Caenorhabditis elegans: one gene and its partners. The protein of the gene in region 1 interacts with the protein of each later gene in a pairwise test. Each region holds a gene or a part of one and is shown in the gene's direction. Other genes may lie near its edges.

Evidence for each region. Proteins that work in one complex are often made in the same cells at the same time.
Region 2: the proteins of skp-1 (region 1) and rpl-5 interact in a two-hybrid assay, tested with the Caenorhabditis elegans proteins (one study listed by BioGRID).
Region 3: the proteins of skp-1 (region 1) and inf-1 interact in a two-hybrid assay, tested with the Caenorhabditis elegans proteins (one study listed by BioGRID).

The regions. Positions count from the first base shown.
Region 1 is NC_003283.11:11,643,870-11,650,645, forward strand, and holds skp-1 (mammalian SKIP (Ski interacting protein) homolog), read left to right. Parts: upstream 1-1,611; 5' UTR 1,612-1,628; coding exon 1,629-1,648; intron 1,649-1,693; coding exon 1,694-1,850; intron 1,851-1,895; coding exon 1,896-2,981; intron 2,982-3,030; coding exon 3,031-3,127; intron 3,128-3,909; coding exon 3,910-4,037; intron 4,038-5,985; coding exon 5,986-6,105; 3' UTR 6,106-6,221; downstream 6,222-6,776. Other genes in the region: Chromosomal passenger complex protein bir-1, read left to right, coding at 894-1,016, 1,061-1,405; Transcription factor zip-10, read right to left, coding at 6,334-6,642, 6,694-6,776.
Region 2 is NC_003280.10:8,568,177-8,571,541, forward strand, and holds rpl-5 (Large ribosomal subunit protein uL18), read left to right. Parts: upstream 1-1,750; 5' UTR 1,751-1,756; coding exon 1,757-1,945; intron 1,946-1,997; coding exon 1,998-2,180; intron 2,181-2,225; coding exon 2,226-2,564; intron 2,565-2,612; coding exon 2,613-2,783; 3' UTR 2,784-2,810; downstream 2,811-3,365. Other genes in the region: col-38 (Cuticle collagen 38), read right to left, coding at 1-627, 756-893; bcs-1 (Mitochondrial chaperone BCS1), read left to right, coding at 2,920-3,146, 3,191-3,365. UniProt on the Caenorhabditis elegans protein: Component of the ribosome, a large ribonucleoprotein complex responsible for the synthesis of proteins in the cell.
Region 3 is NC_003281.10:6,928,560-6,932,508, forward strand, and holds inf-1 (Eukaryotic initiation factor 4A), read left to right. Parts: upstream 1-1,574; 5' UTR 1,575-1,577; coding exon 1,578-1,640; intron 1,641-1,689; coding exon 1,690-1,962; intron 1,963-2,046; coding exon 2,047-2,466; intron 2,467-2,518; coding exon 2,519-2,770; intron 2,771-2,825; coding exon 2,826-3,026; 3' UTR 3,027-3,394; downstream 3,395-3,949. Other genes in the region: flap-1 (Leucine-rich repeat flightless-interacting protein 2), read right to left, coding at 1-117, 165-251; Cell adhesion protein byn-1, read left to right, coding at 3,446-3,595, 3,665-3,777, 3,825-3,930. UniProt on the Caenorhabditis elegans protein: ATP-dependent RNA helicase which is a subunit of the eIF4F complex involved in cap recognition and is required for mRNA binding to ribosome.

The DNA.
Region 1 (6,776 bases):
ACTGATACGCAAAAATTGTCCGAATTGTACTCATATTTTGCCAATTTTGACTTGTTATACCAAGTCTGTAAGAGTTTTCCTAATTTTTAGAACGATTTTATAATGCAAATTTTAAATTCCTAAAAATAGGGAACAAATGGAGGGGTGCAAAACTATTAGAGGTGCAAAACTAATAGAGCGTGCAAAACTAATTTTCGATTAGTGATTTTAGATGCAAAACTAATGGAGGTGCAAAACTAATAGAGGTGCCTAACTATTTAATAGAGGAAATACGGTAAATTTCAGTTTTAGCCAGTTGAGAGAGGTTGAGCCGCAGGCTCGATCGACACCGTCCGGTTAAAAAGTTAATAGAATCTTTTTCCATTGAATCAAAGTTATTGTTAATTTGTTTAGTTTTCAACAAACTCATTGAGTTTCCTGTCTTCTTGGAGGTTTTGGTACGCGCGCACGTGCGCTCTACTGACCAATGGCCGTGGCCTAGCTTTCTTGGTGGCTGTATATTTCAGCGCGAAATTCGTCAGTGCGACGCGAGCTACATTTATTGATTTTTCAACATTTTATTCGATAAATGTTTTCTGAGATTTGTTTTTCATTTATATTTAAATACACACTGAAAAAATAAAACCACGTGGCGTGGATGCGCGAATTTCATGAAATTAAACTTCATTTTCGAAATCTATTAAAATACGCCACGAAGTTTTATTATTTTCAATGTAAGTCTCGTTTTATCTTTTCCTTTTATCAATCGATTTCAACGCTTTCAACTTATTTTTTTGGAATTGTGGTTTTTAGTTCAAATCTTCTTAACTGTATTTCGAATTTTTAATCTCTACCTGTTCGAAATAGATTCCTCAAGATTAAGATACCTAGTTGTTTTTCATTGATTTCAGAAAATGGCACCCGGGACCAAAAAAAAGTCGGATATGGCAAAATTCACATTCTACAAAGATCGCTTGATGACATTCAAAAATTTCGAATATGATAGAGACCCGGATGCAAAATGCACGTCTCAAGCGGTTTGTCCATTTTCGTGTTTTAAATAAAATTATTCTTGTTTTAGGTTGCTCAAGCCGGATTTTACTGCACCGGTCCTCAGTCTGGCAAATGTGCATTTTGCAACAAGGAACTTGATTTTGACCCAGAAGACGATCCGTGGTACGAGCACACGAAACGTGATGAACCGTGCGAGTTTGTACGGATTGGAAAGCTCGATGACTCGGAATTAACTATTAACGATACCGTTCGTCTCTCACAAACCGCCATGATTATGACTAAACTCTTTGAGCATGAGATGATGATAAATAATTTGTCTAATCATTCTTCTTCTGATGCTCTCTTCGATCAGCTGAAAAAAGTACCGAACACAGCATCGACAACAAAATCTAACAGCCGCCGCGGCAAATAATTTTTCTACATCACTTACTGCAACTTATCCAATTATTGATTTGATCTCATATACTCGATTTAATCACTGTTCAATAAACACTTAATTCATTATTTTATTATTCATTCAATGTTTTTGTTTTGAAATTATAACTTGTGTTTCATCGGCACTACAATATCTTCCAGTTTTGTATTTGATTCTTTTTTTGTCTAAAAAAACAATTTCAGGACAGTATTTCATCAGGATGTCGATGAAACTACGAGAGTGAGTGTATTTCACTGATTATCATGTAAAACCAATGTTTTTTAGTATCCTTCCTGCTCCTGTGGCGGCAGACGAAGCAGCTTCACAGATTCGACGAGATCCTTGGTTTGGTGGGCGCGATAACGAACCATCCGCCGCACTCGTATCGAAGGAACCACCGCCGTACGGAAAACGGACCAGTTTTCGACCAAGAGGGCCTGAAGTGAGATTGAAAATATTAATATTCTTCTTAATTTTTCTTTTCCAGGATTTTGGCGATGGCGGAGCGTTCCCTGAAATTCACGTTGCTCAGTTTCCTCTCGGATTAGGTCTTGGAGATATGAGAGGAAAGCCAGAAAATACGCTCGCCTTGCAATATGGAACTGATGGAAAGTTACAACACGATGCTATTGCTCGTATCGGACATGTTAAGGATAAAGTTGTCTACTCCAAGCTTAATGATATGAAAGCCAAGACGTGGAACGAGGATGATGATGATATTCAGAAACCAGACGATGACGCTGTTATCGATGCTACGGAGAAGACAAGAATGGCTTTGGAAAAAATCGTAAATTCAAAAGTAGCCTCAGCACTTCCTGTTCGTCATGCCGACAAGTTAGCACCTGCTCAATATATCAGATACACTCCAAGTCAGCAGAATGGAGCTGCTGGATCACAACAGCGCATCATCAGAATGGTTGAAGAACAAAAAGATCCGATGGAACCACCAAAGTTCAAAATCAATCAGAAGATTCCTAGAGCACCACCATCTCCACCGGCACCAGTCATGCATTCTCCTCCAAGAAAAATGACAGCTAAAGATCAAAACGATTGGAAGATTCCACCATGTATTTCAAATTGGAAAAATCCAAAAGGATTCACAGTTGGGTTGGACAAACGATTGGCTGCTGATGGACGTGGTCTCCAACAGACTCATATTAATGAAAACTTTGCGAAGCTTGCTGATGCTTTGTACATTGCTGATAGAAAAGCTCGTGAAGAGGTTGAGACACGTGCTCAGCTTGAAAGACGCGTTGCTCAAAATAAGAAGTCTGAGCAAGAGGCTAAAATGGCAGAAGCCGCAGCAAAAGCCCGCCAGGAAAGATCAGCGATGCGGAGAAAGGACGATGAAGATGATGAACAAGTCAAAGTTCGCGAAGAAATTCGACGTGATCGTCTCGACGATATCAGGAAAGAAAGAAATATTGCTCGTTCACGACCAGATAAAGCTGACAAGCTTCGCAAAGAGCGTGAAAGAGATATTTCGGAGAAAATTGTGCTTGGTTTGCCGGACACGAATCAGAAACGAACTGGCGAACCACAGTTCGATCAAAGATTGTTTGATAAAACCCAGGTTTCAGTTCCTTCTTCGATAAAATTTAACTAATATATTTATTTTTCAGGGACTCGACAGTGGAGCAATGGACGATGATACTTACAATCCTTATGATGCTGCGTGGCGTGGCGGTGACAGTGTTCAACAGCACGTTTATCGACCGAGTTAGTTTTTCTTGCTTATTTTCAAATATAAATTAAAATTAGTAACGGGTCTAGGTATTTTGAATGTATATATATATATATACCCACAATGCTCTAAAATGAACGAATTTCATAATGAAACGTTCCAGAAGTTTTTCAAAAAAAAAGTTTTATGGCGTTTTAAAATTTCAAAAAAAAACATTATTTTAGCTGAAATCTTATTTTGGCAGTTTATCTTATGCTATTCTAAGGTACATTTAAAATCGAAAGGTTACCGAAATTGATTACCTATGTTTGCTTAAAAAGTACCTCAATTGACGATATTACGTGATATTAAAATTTAAAAAAAGATTATAATTCAAAAAAAATCATTTTTGAACCTCTGCGACACGAAAAATTCGCCAAAATTGATTCATTTTTTCTAAATTTCGAACCGCCATAAAAATCTAAACGTTCAAAAATAACTAGAACCGTTAGTTCTTTAATATTTCAAAATTGAAATGATTTCCTAATGTATGTCTGAACTGAGGAATTTGTGACATTCTAAAATTTATTGTTTTTCTAATTCATTGGTGTTGGAATTCACAAAACTCTTTGATGATACTGATGTATTTGACTTTCATGTCCGTTCTGGTTCATTTGTCGTTAAAAATAGAATCACAACTTAGGTGCCTAGTATTTGATAAGACGTTTGTAGTACTGCAGTCATTACGATTAAAATGACGTTATGCAAATACGAATTTCGAAAATAATTGTATTTTTGTCAAAACAGGAAGAAATGACGATTTATAAAACTTTTGCAGGCAAAAATCTCGACAACGATGTTTATGGTGGCGATTTGGACAAGATCATCGAACAGAAGAATCGGTTTGTAGCTGATAAAGGATTTTCAGGAGCAGAGGGCTCGAGTCGTGGATCTGGACCTGTTCAGGTTAGTCAGTTGATCTGTTGTCAGAAATTTTAACTACGTTACTAAAATAGCTGGGAATTTTGAGAATTTGGGCGCTGGCTCGTTGTTGATGAGCGTCAAAAATTGACTGATAAGTAACGACGAATTGAACCAATTCGTTGATTTGTGCGGTCATTATCATAAATGGATCATTAATTTACGTCATTCCGAAAAGACACGCACAGCAGTGTGTTTTGGAAGTAGAAAAGATTCTTTACATTCTTGGTTTATGAGCTTCAATTGTCGTGCGTAATATGTTTGACATTATTGATAAAATAAGATTAAAATAATTAAAATATGTCAAAGTTCAGTTTTCATCCATTCTCTTTATGGTCGAAATGAACTATTGATGTATTTTAACTCACGATTAATTTGATTGTAAAAGTTAACCAATTTTAGATATTCTAATTAGAGTTATAATAAATAATTATGGATTCATCAATATTGTAGTTTTATACAATGCTCAGAGCTTATTGAACAAAAACTAATTATATCTTTTCTATCATAGCCGATTAGCTTTTCTTTTTACTTAAGTTCGGGATGCAGATTCTCTTCAGTTTAACACATAAAATGTATTAAATTACTTTACTGTTTCTAGTCACATTTCGAGCTGAACGATCAGCATTTTATCGAGTTGTGTCTACGGAGGCTGGTGTTTGCGAGCATCTTTCATAACCCAATCACTATCAGTACTTACGAAATATCACGTCTTATCACCAACAAGCCAGAAGCATTAGAACCAACATGTGATTTACTCTAAAAGTTGAAATGACTGAAATACTAGACAGAACTAGAGCGGTGTTGACTATATTTCGGTCTATTTTTAGGAAATGATAACTTTTTGCTCCGAATATACGTGTAAATGAAACAGCTCAAATCAAAATTTCACTCTCAAAGTGGCATTGTAGTTAAAAATACGTATTGCATTTTTTAACAAAAAAATCTTAGTTTTAGTTTTCGCTTATTATGAAAGTGGACGAAATAAACAGTTGTCCTCCCAGTTTTTATAGTATTTATTCGTATTTGGAAATTCTAGGGATCGAACCTGTAGAAATAATCGAAATTTATCAAAAAATTGAAATTTTTGAAAAATTTGGCATTTACTATATTGAAAACACCAATTTTTCAAATGTTTAAACCATGTTCATAGTTTAGATTTGAACAGGAAACGTATTTTTTTTCCGGAATTGTTTGCAGCGAACTCGGGGAGCTGGGTAAACTTTTTCGGCGAAATGGTGTTAATTGTAGACTAACATCTAAACTGAGTGATAAGCAGTAAGCGGATAAGCCAACGATCATCCGTGTCGATTTATAAATTGGTTCAAGCAGCGTTCAAAGGGCAAAACATTAGATGATGATGATGACAGAAAATACGATTTTCATGCCATTTTAAGAATGACAATGATAATTCTAGTATATTTCATGACAATATTTCCGAATCGTGATTGTGCATGGCATAGTTTCGAAATTTCTTACAAAGTTTATTATAAACTTATCAAGAAAATGATGACGATGCGGAATCGTCTAGAATTACAGGACAGACACGATGGCGGCCGATTTGGCATGTTTGCGTGTGACGATCGAATTGTTGCAGAACGCGTAGAAAATGCTATAATCTGGTCAAAGTGCATTTGATTCCAACGAAATAGTTTATACGCATTGAGTTTAACTGTGAATCGAACGTTATTGAAATTTAGAAAATTCCATCTGCGAAATTGAGTGTGTGGACCCGTAGTATTCAGAAATATATGTATTTACTGAATTATTTTTTTGAAACCTAATTTCTAAAGATTTCATAAGGAAATTGCATAAAAGATGCTCTTAAAATGACTGTGACTACTTCTAAAATTTACTTATCAATGAGTCATAAAACATTAAATGTCACTGTGCATTTATGAATCACTACAAAATGTTAACCTTTTTATTTCAGTTCGAGAAGGATCAAGATGTTTTCGGATTGTCATCACTTTTCGAGCACACCAAAGAAAAGAAACGAGGTGGGGATGGTGGAGACTCCCGTGGAGAATCAAAGAGGTCTCGACGCGACTAATTTTAATATATTTTTTATTTGTTTTCTGTTATTTTTTCTCAACTTCTTTTTTGGAAAGAATCTCTGTAACTCTTCTGTAGTTGGATGTTTGCACAAAGATGAATCAAAACCGTGTCAATTTTTATTAATAACATTTCGAAAGAAGACCAAATTATGTCAGCAAAGAATGAGCGAATTTGAAAAATTATGGCAAAGAGGATTCGGGAGAGGGGAATATTGAAGATGTTCTTAGGAATGGTTGATTTGATTATTGAGTTGCAAAATACTGATCAAGAAATCTTTTTGAGCATTTTCTTGTTGAAGACCACTAACTGCTTGCCGGAGAGCTTTTACTTCCAACTCGAGTTGCTCCTTCTCATCATGAAGACTTTTCACATTCTCCACCTTTTGGCGCATTTGAGCACGGTACTGGCGAGCATAAAGACGGCGATGACGCTTCTTTTGACTGTGAGCATCTTGTCCATCTGCAATTTCTTGTTGTGGTCGACCACGACGGATTTTACCAGGAGCAGCAGAACTTTCAGTTGAAGAGCATCTCTGAAAATACAAATAATATTACAAGATTTTGAGAAAATATGATATGCTTACCGAGCTGGATGTGGTAGATGTTCCCAAAGAAGCAGAACTTTCAAATGGCAAAACAGGCAGATTGATGCTGAATTGAGCAAGCA
Region 2 (3,365 bases), on another chromosome or scaffold:
ACGTCCTGGTTGTCCATCTGGTCCCTGTGGTCCTTGTGGTCCTTGCTCTCCATCAACTCCAGAATCTCCGTTCTTTCCTGGTTCTCCTTGAGATCCTGGCCATCCTGGAGTTCCTGGTTGTCCTGGAAGTCCTGGTCCTCCAATAGTTCCATCTTGTCCAGTTGGTCCTTCAGATCCTTCAGTTCCTGGCTCTCCTTGTGGTCCTTGTTCTCCAGTGATTCCGGCCTCTCCTGGAGCTCCATCTTCTCCACATTGTCCTGCAGATCCAGATGCTCCTGGGAATCCTGGCTCTCCAATATCTCCGTCTGGTCCAGTTTCTCCTGGTGGTCCTTGTGGGCATTGAATGCATCCTCCTGGAAGATGATGGGTAACAGCCAGAGATACTCCAGAAGCTCCATCACGTCCCTTATCTCCAGATGGTCCTTGATCTCCACGTCCTCCTGGAAGTCCTGGTGGTCCTGGTGGTCCTGGTGGGCATCCTTGAGAGTTGGCATCACAATTACATTGAGATGGATAAGCAGAACGCTTGTTACGGAAAACGCTGGCGAAAGCGGCACTGCGGGATTCAGAATCAAGAGATGGCTTGGTGAATCCAATCATACGATTCCATGCATCATCAGACATCACCTGAAAACAGTTTTTTATAGGCATATCCAGTTGAATCCTTTCGGAGTCCAAGTTGACTATAACTCATAGATTTATAAAAAACTAATACTTTAAATATAAATACTAACAGGTTTATCATAATTACCAACCTTCATGTCATGGACTCCAGTTACAATTTCTTCTCTCATCGTGTCAATATCGACAACAATGGAATGCATGGCGACAAGGGCGCCAAAAACGGCAACCAGCGAAATAGAAGCACAAACGGGAACCAAATATTTTGACATTTTTAGACGATGTCTGAGTGTTCCATCAGGAAACGATTCATTTTAATAGTGAAGACGTTCGTGGTGAGATATAATGTGAACTTGAGAGAGATGCGTGACGGTACTGGAAGCGAATCCACTTTTTTCGACAGCGCGAAGAATCGAATAAAAAGTTAGGACCGTATGGGAAATTGTTTCTAAGTTTTTGGTGCAAAAAACCATTAGTGATAAGGAAAACCTGCTTTTCCGTCCATTTTTCATTGCCGGATAATCTTCTTGAGTGTTTTTTTTTCTGATTTGCATTAAAATTGGTTTTTTAATATCTCAATTCATATACGATTTGTTTTCTGTCTGTTTCCCTACTAAAAACTTATATTTTGAAGTTAATTCACAACGTTTTCTCGTTTGGAAGCGATGCCTACCGTACCCTTGCTGTTTGAATTCCCGCGCCTGCGCATCAAACTTTATGTGTGCAGTGGCGGTGTACGCACACCATCAACTCGCGTCTGATTGCGGACTTGAAGCAAATTTGTGTTGTCCTAAAAATTTTCTATTCTTTTTTTGATTTTTCAGTGCTTTTCACGATTTTTTTAAAATAAAATTAAACAAAAAATAAGATTACACTGATTTATCGATTTTTAAAGTCACTGTCTACACTTTTTCGATTTTTTCGAATATTTATCGTTTTCTTTGCTTGAAATTCCGCCATCTTTGAGAGTTTCATTGTTCACTCGTAATATTATTTTTGTTAGTCATTTTTTGCTAATGGCGAACGCTAGAACTTCCCGTTTCCTTCGAAAATAAGCTTGGTTTCTTCCCGATAATCGTTTCGTTTCTCTCTTTCTATACAGGATAGTTTTAAAAATATAATATTGCAGAAGAACATGGGTCTCGTCAAGGTCATTAAAAACAAGGCCTACTTCAAGCGCTACCAGGTCAAGCTGAGACGTAGACGTGAGGGAAAGACTGACTACTATGCCAGAAAGCGTCTTACCGTCCAGGACAAGAACAAGTACAACACCCCAAAGTACCGTTTGATCGTCCGCATCACAAACAAGGATGTTGTCGCTCAGGTAAGGTTTTCATTAATTTCAAATGTAGAATATATTAATTTAAGTGTTTCAGCTCGCTTACTCCAAGATCGAAGGAGACGTCGTTGTCGCTTCGGCTTACTCCCACGAACTTCCACGTTACGGACTCAAGGTCGGACTTACCAACTACGCCGCTGCTTACGCCACCGGACTTCTTCTTGCCCGTCGTCACTTGAAGACCATCGGACTTGACTCCACCTACAAGGGCCACGAAGAGGTATTTTGTATTTCTATTTGATCTTACTTTAAATTCATACTTTAGCTTACTGGAGAAGACTACAATGTAGAAGAGGAGGGAGACCGCGCTCCATTCAAGGCTGTCCTCGACATCGGACTTGCTCGCACCACCACCGGATCCAAGATCTTCGCTGTGATGAAGGGAGTTGCTGATGGAGGCATCAACGTTCCCCACAGTGAGAGCAGATTCTTCGGATTCGATCAAGAGTCGAAGGAGTACAATGCTGAGGCCCACCGCGACCGCATTCTCGGAAAGCATGTTGCTGACTACATGACCTACTTGAAGGAAGAGGATGAGGATCGTTACAAGCGCCAATTCTCCAAGTTCCTTGCCGCTGGATTGAACGCCGATAACCTTGTTGCCGTAAGTTGAATTATTCCTATTTTTGTAACCAATGTTTAAAATATTCAGACTTATCAAAAGGTCCACTCCGCCATCCGTGCTGATGCCTCTCCAGCCGCAAAGAAGGCTGCCAAGCCATCCAAGAGACACACCGCCAAGAGGCTCACATATGACGAGAGAAAGCAACGTGTTGCCGACAAGAAGGCCCTTCTTCTCCAACTCAAGGAGCAACAGGAGTAACTCTCTTTTTGTTATTTCGTTTTCAAATGAATGTATTTGTTGACAGTCTCGAGTTTTGTTACAATTTGTTCGAGTACGATAAAATTATACATTGGATTTCTTGATTTTTGAAGTCTAAATTTCAGTTAAAGTTAAGATGTCGGAAAATCCTGTCGTTTCCGATAAAAAACCAGGCCCATCAAAAGACTCTTCCTTTTTCTCCGATTTGTATGACAATTTGAATCAAAACCCGTATTTTAATGCGGGAGCTGGTCTAGCGGGAATAGGAATAGCAATGAGCTTTCTGCGGAGGACAGCTCAAATCAGCAACACGTATTTTCGTAGGCGTTTTATGATCAATCTTCAAATTAATAACGAAGACGCGTAAGTTATTTACAGAAATCCATCAGAAAATATAATGATTTTAGAGCGTATCCATGGCTTCTCGATTTCATTAATAATCGAAGTGCTACCCAAACACGGAATTTATCAGCGAATACAGTTGTTCATCAAGCTGAAAGTGGCAAAACTGAATTATCAATATCATTCCTACCTGGCCATGGAACTCATTTTTTCGTCCATGATTATCGATGGATCAAAGTC
Region 3 (3,949 bases), on another chromosome or scaffold:
AGCAGTATCATGACGATAAGCTTCCGCATCTTCTTCAACTTTTTTTTCTAACAACTGATATCTTCCTTGTCGGGCTTGTTCTCGTGTTTCTCGTTTCAATTTCATTCGAGCTTCCGCCTAAAACTTTTAGTTTTTAATTCGAATTTTTCAAATTGTTAAGATACCTCTCTGGAAATTTTGTCTAATGCTCTTTCTTCGGCTTCTGATCGGGTGATAGGTCGCCGGCGACCACTGGATGGGTATGAGCTCATGATTTCTGAAAATTGTATGTGTTTATGGTGTGTGCACAAGAAAGGAGAATTTGAATATTTTAAATGGCGAAAAATCAATAACGAACAGAGAGGAAGCAGCAGTGAAAATGAGTGTAATGTTTCCAACGCGCGTTGTGTCCGCGCGGATTCCGTCTTTCGAGATTTATGTCAATATGTGTGAGGGTTGAGTGAGGAGGAGGGAAATGAGGGAGAACAGCCTTCCGCAAAATTCAGGATTTTTATGGCCTGTGAACATGACAATGAATTTGATCTCTTTTTTTTATTTGATTTCAGATACCTTTTCTTCTCTGTATTTAATATTTATTCTTGTTCACAATACAAAACAGTCTACATAGGTCAATTTCTTCCTAATCCACGAACAATGCAGTTTTTGGCATTTAACCAAGCCCCTAATTCGGTGTCAACAGGTGTTTTTGAAGAGCAGATGGTGTTCTTCTCGTTTCTCTCTTATTCATCGCGTCTGGAACACCGCACGCTGTGCTCTCTACGGCTCTTACTCTCATTCGTCGCGCTCATTTGCCTAAATTGACCAGTCTGCTCGCTGTGCTCTCTCATCGTTCAACCAACATTTCTCACTTTCTTTATGAGGACCTCATACACACTCAGCCTTCTAACTTTCCTTATTATTTACTTTGGCTTCAAAAATCCAAATTAATTTTTTAAATTTCGAACCACTTTTAAGTGCATGTCACTGTCGTCAGTGTTAGTGATTACTCGTCTTTTTTTTACGCAGGTTGCATTCAAAAAACGGAAAAAGTATAGATTTTGAATCTATATCATTAAAATTATTTTAAAAATGAATTCAAAAATGTGTATAACCAAATGTACATAAAAATTATAAAGAATTGAATTGGTCAAATAAAAAAGAGCCATTTTTCTTCAAAAAAAATTGATGGTATGAATGTGCGCTCTAATGAACACTCTCTTCGCTTCGAGACCCGTCACTCTTGTTCGAATGATTTGGCCCGGTTTTGGGGCGGTTTCTTAGCCTCTTTTTAGATTTTAAAGCTTTTTTAAACGTTTTTTATGCTTTTCGTGTTAAGAATATATTTATTTCAAATGCTTTTTCTCAAAAAAACAAAGGTTTTTAGGTCGAAACTTTTCTTTCATTTCTTTTGGATGGGTTTATTCGAAAATTTTAGGATTGAGATACTGTATTTCGCAATTATTATTATTGAAGAACTATTTCAACACCCTTATCTTTGTATTTAATGCTGAAATACTTTCGAAATTTCATTTTACTTCAATTTCAGAAACTCAATCGCACTTCCAAAAGTTAATTTTTAACTTTTCAACCCACCTGTCATGACCGATGTTAAAAATGATGTGAACGTATCTTCGGTGGTCGATGCCGACGGCTTGATCGAGGTTAGTTAATGTACATAATTTATTATAATTTGAATACATTCAATTTTAGGGAAACTATGATCAAGTCGTCGAATCTTTCGACGACATGGAGCTCAAGGAGGAGCTTCTTCGCGGAATCTACGGATTCGGTTTCGAAAAGCCATCTGCTATTCAAAAGCGCGCAATTGTTCCATGCACCACTGGAAAGGACGTCATCGCTCAAGCCCAATCTGGAACTGGAAAGACTGCAACTTTCTCGGTCTCTATTCTTCAGAGAATCGACCACGAGGATCCACACGTGCAAGCTCTCGTTATGGCCCCAACCAGAGAATTGGCTCAACAGGTAAACTTTCTCACTCAGTGTATTTTAGTTATAGATTATTAGCAGATACTTTTAAAGAAAACTTTTCAAAATCTTTCTTTGTAGATCCAAAAGGTCATGAGCGCCCTCGGAGAGTACCTCAACGTTAACATTCTTCCATGTATCGGTGGAACCAGTGTTCGCGACGATCAACGAAAACTCGAAGCCGGAATTCACGTCGTTGTCGGAACTCCAGGACGTGTTGGAGACATGATCAATAGAAATGCTCTTGACACATCCAGAATTAAGATGTTCGTTCTCGACGAGGCCGACGAAATGCTTTCTAGAGGTTTCAAGGATCAGATCTACGAGGTTTTCCGTTCCATGCCACAAGACGTTCAAGTAGTCCTTCTTTCGGCTACTATGCCATCTGAAGTTCTTGATGTCACTAATCGTTTCATGCGCAATCCAATCCGCATTCTTGTCAAGAAGGACGAGCTCACCCTTGAAGGTATCAGACAGTTCTACATCAACGTTCAAAAGGATGTAAGTTTACTCGCCCAGTCTAAGAAATTGTTTTCATGAACCATTTTTTCAGGAGTGGAAGTTTGACTGCCTCTGTGATCTCTACAACGTTGTCAATGTTACTCAAGCCGTCATCTTCTGTAACACTCGCAGGAAGGTCGACACACTCACCGAGAAAATGACTGAAAATCAGTTCACAGTCTCTTGCCTCCACGGAGACATGGATCAAGCTGAGCGTGATACAATTATGCGAGAGTTCCGTTCAGGATCTTCCCGTGTTCTCATCACCACAGACATCTTGGCTCGTGGTATTGACGTACAACAGGTAAGTATAAATATTTGTGTTTATAATTCAATACTATGGAATGTATATATTTTAGGTCTCACTTGTTATCAACTATGATCTCCCATCCAATCGTGAGAACTACATCCATCGTATCGGACGTTCTGGACGTTTCGGTCGTAAGGGAGTTGCCATCAACTTCGTCACCGAGAACGATGCTCGTCAGCTCAAGGAAATTGAAAGCTACTACACCACTCAAATCGAAGAGATGCCAGAATCAATCGCTGACCTCATCTAAATTTTAATCCAATTCCGATCCCCTCCACGATTGTTCCACACGCTTTTCCCTTCCTCTTGTTTCCTCATATTTATCCATGTTATCTGTTTTCTCCTCCACCCCCACCGTCCCACATTTTTATTTTATGCGTGATTTCATCTTTTTAATCACCCCTTTTTAGTACTGGCCCTATCCCATCCAACTTGGTTCAAACATTCTAATTCTCTTTCAATTTAGAGTTTAGTATTGCCCCCTAAAAGTTATAGAGCCACCTTGGTTTTGTTTGACAAAATGTTTTTGTCTGGCGTTCTCTTTTTCTGGAAAATAATGAAATTGCGTATGTTACATTCATTTTAAATCTTATGAACAGGCTTCTGATCCTTTCAGAATATATTGAACACCGTAATTCTGCTAATTTTTAATTATGAATTTCCAGTAACATGGTGAAAAGGAATTTGAAAGGAAGGGGTGACAAATTATCAGCCAATGCTCCACTGGATAACCAGTTGGAAGCTGGTAAAGTTGCAAAGCAACGAGATGAGCTTCGCGAAAAGCAGAAGAGAAAAAGGGAAGACTCGCAGACAGACGAGGTCAGTAAATATTCAGGGAAAATTAAATATTATTTTCATTGACCAGAGAGTTCATAAAATTAGTTTCAGTTCGTTCCTGATTCGCTCTCATCAAAAATCTTGAATGAAGCTCGTAAGCAGCTTCTCGAAGAGGCACTGGAAAGACAAGAAACCGAATCAGCCACATCTAGTGTTCCAAAAAGGTAAATAAACAATTTATCATAATTCAATGCAAGTATTTCTGTTACAGACAACGCGGAGCTTGGCTTGGAGCTGATGCATCCGGCGACAAATCGGACGATGATGATGATGATAATGAAGAAGAAGACGACAATGGATTTGAAGATCAAGTTGTTGTAAGTAAAATCTATTTAG